Linked DNA regions of Astyanax mexicanus. The protein of the gene in region 1 interacts with the protein of each later gene in a pairwise test. Links are inferred from orthologs where the notes say so. Each region holds a gene or a part of one and is shown on either strand. Other genes may lie near its edges.

Region 1 (3,921 bases):
TGATCTGTAACCCGTTTTCTGCTGCCTCTACCTCCTCCACGGCAGAACCTGGTCCACTGTCCCCAGTCAATGATGTCACACTTGTGATTTTAAGGTTCATATCCTCTTGGGCACTCTGAGTTTCGGATGTTTCCGCTGACGTTGAAATGGCAACGTCTGACGTCCCTCCTAACGTGGTAACGCTGGCAATTTTGATTTCTGAGTCTGGTTCAGTGCTGCTCAAGGCATTCCTGGCCGGACCGACTGCCAGTGAGGAAGACGATGATCCTCTGTGTTCAGAATCTTCCTCATCGTCTATAACAATAGGTTCACTCTGGCTTTGGAGCGTTGTGGTTACGGCTGCCGCAGAGGCAGCAGCAGCTGCAGAGGTGGGAGGAGTGGGTGCTTCGGAGGATGCTGTTGCTGTGGTAGCTGACTCCACACAGTCTGTGGTTTTGGCAGCATCGAGGGCCTCGACAGGTGTGGGGGAGTCTGAGGGGGTTGGCGGCTGTGTTCCCCCCTGAGAGAGAGCAGGAGGCCCCTCTACTAGCACAACATCATCATCATTATCCTCTGGAGCTTTGGGCAGGTCTGTTGTCATGGCACCAGCTTCACCTTGATGCTGCCCATCTGAGGAAAGATCCGTTGCAGGTGTGGCTTCCATGGGCTCCTCCTCCTGAATCGAGACCTCCTCCCCATCTGCCACAGGCTCCAAGTCTCCATCCATCACTTCAACCACCTGTTGACAGCGATGTCAGGAAAGAGAAGAGAAATAGCTCACATATGCTTATTAAATAGTAAAGCAATGCCCGAACCCTACCTAGGGCTGGACAATATTGCCAAAATGTTTATCATGATATGTTTATTTTGTTTAGTTGATATAATATCATTCAATATATCCAATATCTCCTGTGGTATACATCACACACTGACACTGCCAGGCTACGGAAGTCTAGTGTTCTTGTGCTTTCTGCTCGGCTTTGAAAGAAATAAACTAACAGCAGTGCCGTGCAATAACTTAAATTAAATGTACTTCATTTCAAAAATATACACATCATAAAAACCTGGATCTCCTTTATTATTAGGACTCTTATCTTGAAAAGGTTTACTTTTGTTTGATTCAATCGCACTCAGCTGGGTGAACAAGCATTTTAAAACCTAGAACTTCAGGTAAGTCACCATGATAGCAGCCGGAGTCAGCCGGTTGAAGCCATGATGCTACCAGACAAGTCAGTGTGGTTTAGCAGTGAAACTAACCGCTGGCCTTGGCAGGCTTTAAATGTGTTAAATGTTTCCCTGAACTGGAATACTTGCTGATATTTGAATGACAGAATACTGGGTTTGCTGTGATGCCAAGAGCTTCCCACAACGTCTACTGTTTAGTGAGTCTAAATTTGTTTATGAGAAAAGTGTCACACTGCATACGATATTGGAACCATTACTGTAAAATTTTGGTCCACCTAAAAAAAACTTGCCATATTTTTAATGAGCACTTTGTTGCTCTGTTTGGTGTGCACCAAAGGAAAATTAGATCTTCAACTGTCCAGCTTTGGTCATCATGCACTCACAGCTTTCTGTCCTAAGCTAAAAGAAATGGAACCCATCATGGTTTGATGTGCACTCATGTTTTTCTGCATCAGATGGAGGTTATCTGAGTTTCTTTAATGTTGTGGTGAAAAATCCTATATCAGCAGTTACAGAAATCCTCAACCTGCCCATCTAAAACCAACAATTAAGCAACGCTTTTTTTTTTTTGCATTTGGATGTTTAATTCGAACATTACCTGAAGCAGCATGAGTTCATGCATTGCAGTGGCCATCTGCCCAAAAGAAACACTGTGCAATGCAGGTGCAGCTTTTGTTTAATATGTTGCCAGAGAGATTAAACAACCCCTTACATACATGCATACATACATATATATCAAAAGCTAATGAACAAAGAAACTGATGCTCACTGTATCCAAGGCCTGCTGCTATATTATTACGTAAAATGTCATCATGGATGTCCCCAAAACAGGACAATACAATCAGTACTGACGCTATCAAAAATCAAGGAACCAACCAGTGATCTCCTAAACAGTAAAGCTACTGTATTGTGTGCTACCAGATTATATGGACAAAAACAACAAAGCTCACTTCTTAATGCCATACACATCCATGTTATGCTTCTCTCACAGCATGAATTTTATTGTGATACACAGTATACTTTTCTCATCATATCAGGGCTGTCTTCAGTGCAAATTCTAAACATGCCTGTTCAAATATTTATGGACAGCAATTTTACTGCATGCATACAGATGCAATAATTTGCACTCATTACGGACACAGATGTACAAATGTACACTTAGTTTTGTCTAGGTGCTGTAGAGAAGCATAGTCAGATGAACAGATGAACATGGCAGATGAACATGACACTACTGGCACCATGCCTAATGCCAGGTGTGGGGCAGAGGGGTATAAAGTCCCCTAGTATTAAGCTGTGGAGCAGTGGAACTGTATTTTTTGCAATTACGGTGTTCCATACTATATTTCTGGATAGTATTGTGGATGAGGTGTGGTGGTTATTATCCAACATTGTGATCAGATAAATGCTCTCGTCTGTGAATCAAATCCGCAACAATGCTCTAAAATCTAGCAGAATGTCTTCAACAAACAGCAAAGACGGTTACTTCAATATAATTAGAATAAAACTAATGCCCTTGATTTGGGAAGAAACGAATGAGCAGGTGTCCCACTCCTTTTGCCAAGTTAAGTGTATATACAGTCATATGAAAAAGTTTGGGCACCCCTATTAATCATTTTTAGTTCTATATATTTGGGTGTTTGCAACAGCCATTTCAGTTTGATATCTCTAATAACTGATGGACACAGTAATATTTCAGGATTGAAATGAGGTTTATTGTACCAACAGAAAATGTGCAATATGCACTAAACCAAAATTTGCAAAAGTATGGGCACCCTTATCCTTTTATTGATTTGAATACTCCTATTTTTTCTGACTTACTGAAGCACAAAATTGGTTTGGTAACCTCAGAGCTTTGAACTTCATAGCCAGGTGTATCCAATCATGAGAAAAGGTAGGATACAAAGGGAAGGATACAAAAAGTTGTCTCAGAGATTTAACCTGTCAGTTTCCACTGTAAGGAACATATTAAGGAAATGGAAGACCACAGGGACATTTCTTGTTAAGCCCAGAAGTGGCAGGCCAAGAAAAATATCAGAAAGGCAGAGAAGAAGAATGGTGAGAACAGTCAAGGACAATCCACAGACCATATCCAAACAGCTGCAGCATCATCTTGCTGCAGATGGTGTCATTGTGCATCAGTCAACAATGCAGCGCACTTTGCACAAGGAGAAGCTGTATGGGAGAGTGATGCGAAAGAAGCCATTTCTGCAAGCACGCCACAAACAGAGTCGCCTGAGGTGTGCTTTTGCATTTGCATACCTCAGGCGACTCTGTTTGTGGCATGCTTGCAGAAATGGCTTCTTTCGAATCACTCTCCCATACATAGTGGATTGTCCTTGACTGTTCTCACCATTCTTCTTCTCTGCCTTTCTGATATTTTTCTTGGCCTGCCACTTTTGGGCTTAACAAGAACTGTCCCTGTGGTCTTCCATTTCCTCACTATCTTCCTCACAGTGGAAACTGACACGTTAAATCTCTGAGACAACTTTTTGTATCCTTCCCCTGAACAACTATGTTGAACAATCTTTGTTTTTAGATCATTTGAGAGTTATTTTGATGAGCCCATGATGCCACTCTTCAGAGGAGATTCAAATAGGAGAAGAACTTGCAATATGCCACCTTAAATACCTTTTCTCATGATTGGATACACCTGGCTATGAAGTTCAAAGCTCAATGAGGTTAACAAACCAATTTGTGCTTCAGTAAGTCAGTAAAAAGTAGTTAGGAATATTCAAATCAATAAAATGATAAGGGTGC
Region 2 (3,921 bases), on another chromosome or scaffold:
TGTAACAAAATAAAACACCTCCTTTACAAAGGCAGTGTTACAGGTAACACACAGGCTACAACTGCTTTACAACCTTAAAAACTTAAAGGAAGCATTGCATATAACACATATGTACTCAAAGCCACCACTTACTTAAGTATCTTAAGTAATACACCTCCTTTACCAACTTAAACTTTACAAACTTAAGGGCAGTGTTAAACACAACACATAGGCTCCACTTCCTTTACAAACTTTACAAACTTAAGGACAGTGTTAAACACAACACATAGGCTTCACCTCCTTTACAAACTTTACAAATGTTTACAAGTTTTCACAAACTCAACAAACTTAAACTTTACAAACTTAAGACATTGTTACATGCAACACAGAGGTTACATCTCCTTTACAAACTTACAAAATTAATGGTTACAGGTTACACACAGGCTACACCTCCTTTAAACATAAAGGCAGTAATATACGTAAAACACAGACTACACCTCCATACAACACATAGGCTACACCTTCTTTACAAACTCAACAAACCTTGCAAACCTAAGAACAGTGTTCCACATAACATAGTCTACACCTTTCCAAACTTTACAAACTTATGGGCAGTGTTACATGTTACACGTGCCAACTCAAGGGCAGCGTTACACATAACACACAGGCTACGTCTCCTTTACAAAATAAAAGTAAGTGCGGTGCTACACTTTACACACATGTAGTCAGACACCACACACCCCTCCTTTACAAACTCAACAAACTTTACAAACTTAAGTGAAGTGTTACATGTAACACAACAGGCTCCACTTCCTTTCCAAACTTTACAAAGTTATGGGCAGTGTTACATGTTACACATTGCACATGCAAACTTAAAGGCAGAGTTACCCGTTACACAGTCTACACCTTTACAAACTTCAAAAACTTAAGGCAGTGTTACACTTTACACATATGTAGCTAAAGCCACCACTTGTAAGTACCACACATGGGCTACAACTCCTTTACAAACTCAACAAATTTTACAAACTTATGTGCAGTATTATTTGTTACACACAGGCTACACCTCTTTTACCACCTTAAACTTAAGGGCAGTGTTACATGTAACAATCTACACCTCCTTTACAAACTTAACACACTTCACAAACTTAAGGGCAGTGTTACACGTTACACATAGACTACACCTACTTTACAAACTCAACAAATTTACAAACTTAAGGGCAGTGTTACATATAACAGTCTACACCTTCTTTACAAACTTAAGGGTAGTGTTACATTACACTTTACACACATGTAGCCAAAGCCACAACACACAGGCTACACCTCCTTTACCAATTTAAACTTAAGGGCAGTGTTACATGTAACAAGCTACACCTCCTTTACAAACTTAACACACTTGACAAACTTAAGGGTAGTGTTACACTTTACACATATGTAGCCAAAGCCACCACACACAGGCTACACCTTCTTATACACATATTTAGCCATAGCAACAACACATATGCTACACGTCCTTTACAAACTTAAACTTACAAACTTAAGGGAAGTGTTACACCTCCTCTACAAACTTTACACACTTAAGGGCAGTGTTACACGTTACACATATGTAGCCAAAGCCACCACACACAGGCTACACCTTCTTAACAAACTTAAACTTACAAACTTAAGGGCAGTGTTGCACGTTACACATAGTCTACACCTGCTTTCCAAACGCAACAAACTTTTCAAACTTAAGGGCAGTGTTACATGTAACAGTCTACACATTTATTACAAAATTAAGGGTAGTGTTACACTTTACACATATGTAGCCAAAGCCACAACACACAGTCTACACCTGCTTTACAAACTCAACAAACTTTACGAACTTAAGGGCAGTGTTATCTGTAACAGTTTACACCTCCTTTACAAACTTTACATGTATGTAGCCAAAGCTACAACACATATGCTACACATCCTTTACCAACTTAAACTTACAAACTTAAGGGCAGTGTTACACCTCCTTTACAAACTTCACACACTTAAGGGCAGTGTTACACGTTACACATATGTAGCCAAAGCCACCACTCATAGGTGCCACACAGTTTACATCTCCTTCACAAACTCAGCAAACTTTACAAACACAAGAACAGCGTTACACACAAGCTAGATGTTACATGTTACAAGTTACTAGTTGCACGTGCAAACGGCTGCTGCCAGCAGTGCGCGTGGGGTTGATTTACCTGCACAGTAACTAGTAGAGCGTGCACTGAGAGTGTGTGTTGTGCTTCATGCATGGTTACAATGTGTCTCTGTAACTTTGTTTAGCAGCGGTTCGCTACTTTGATCTGAGCGGGTAACTTGTGGATCAGACGGCAGAATCAGTCAGAGTCTCGCGGGACTGAACTCGTGCAGTTTTATCTGTTTAAAGCGGACAGTTATCTCGTTCCTGCGCTAAAAGAAGGAACTCGCGTCCTGGCGCGCGCACGCGTGTTTGTGTGTTTGTTTGTTTGTTTGTTTACTTGTCTAGTTTCCTCCTCACCTTAGAAACAGCGCGCGAGCGCAGGTACAGCAGCGGGGCGCTCGCGGAGCGACGGGACAGCGGAGCCGCGCGCGCGTTACACATAAAAAGAGAGATAAAAGAAAGTAGAAACAATGTATCTGTTTGAACTTACCGCAGCAGCGCGCGCGGAGGAGACGCAGGAGTTAGTAGTAGTAATAATATCAACTATCGGCACTTCTTCTGCAGCAGGAGCGCGTGCGCTGGCGGAGCACGCTGTAAAGTGCGCGGCGGTATCACTCCGCGCGGAGGGACTAACTAACCGGGGTCTGCGGAACTCCGGGTCTCCCCGCGGTACCGAACCGGCGGATTTACCGCTCCCCTCTCTCTCTCTCAGCGCCCTGAGATAAAACAGAGAGATAGAGAGTGATAGAGAGAAATAAAGCAGCGGATTTATATTTAGTTATTTCTCCATTCTGCTGCTGCTGCGAAGTCTGACTGACGTCACATCCACCTGCTGTATAAACATTAGCAGCTCCTGATAACATCTAATAAACCTTCATTACATCTGATAACATCTACTAAACCATTTCTCTGAGATACAAACATAAATTCTGAGATATTATCTCAAAATATTAAAATAATGTGACATTTAATAAACATGAATTACTTCCACTTTCATGTACTAAACCATTGTTCTGAGATACTAAATATAAAAAATGAGATAGCTTCTCAACATAATGAGATAGCATCTGAAAATATTGAGTTATCTCAAAATGTCAAAATTATGAGCTAGTGTCTCAAAATGATGAGATAGCATCATAAATGAATGACTTAATGCGATCTCTCATAATTTTGAGATACTATATTAGCAAAATACATCTTCAAACAGTCCATTATTATCTAAAAAGAATTGAGACAGCATTATAAATGATTGACCTGTTATTTCAAAATAATATCTTAGATTCTCAAAATAATGAGATCATAATTTTGAGATACTAAGTGATTCTTTGACAATGATTTTTGCAGACTTTGTATTTCAAAATAATGAGATAGCAATTTACTTAACAATGAGAAAATATATACCACCCTCACCCCTCCAGCATCGCCTCCTCCACCCTCACCCCTCCACCCTCACCCCTCCAGCATCGCCTCCTCCACCCTCACCCCTCCAGCATCGCCTCCTCCTGCATCACCTCCTCTAGCATCGCCTCCTCCACCCACACCCATCCTGCATCGCCTCCTACAGCATCACCTCCTCCACCCTCACCCATCCACCCTCACCCCTCCAGCATCGCCTCCTCCTGCATCACCTCCTCTAGCATCGCCTCCTCCACCCACACCCTTCACCCCTACAGCATCACCTCCTCCACCCTCACCCCTCCTGCATCACCTCCTACAGCATCGTTTCCTCCACCCTCACCCCTCCAGTATCGCCTCCTCCACCCTCACCCATCCTGCATCACCTC

Evidence for each region.
Region 2: the proteins of zmym2 (region 1) and foxp1b come close enough for resonance energy transfer, tested with the Homo sapiens proteins (2 studies listed by BioGRID). The link is inferred for Astyanax mexicanus from reciprocal best matches to the Homo sapiens genes ZMYM2 and FOXP1.

What each region holds. Positions count from the first base shown.
Region 1 is NC_064418.1:25,236,019-25,239,939, reverse strand, and holds the start of zmym2 (zinc finger MYM-type protein 2), read right to left. Parts: upstream 2,125-3,921; 5' UTR 1,799-2,124; coding exon 1,763-1,798; intron 719-1,762; coding exon 1-718. UniProt on the Homo sapiens protein: Involved in the negative regulation of transcription.
Region 2 is NC_064412.1:2,036,649-2,040,569, reverse strand, and holds the start of foxp1b (forkhead box protein P1-B), read right to left. Parts: upstream 2,722-3,921; 5' UTR 2,628-2,721; intron 1-2,627. UniProt on the Homo sapiens protein: Transcriptional repressor. Can act with CTBP1 to synergistically repress transcription but CTPBP1 is not essential. Plays an important role in the specification and differentiation of lung epithelium.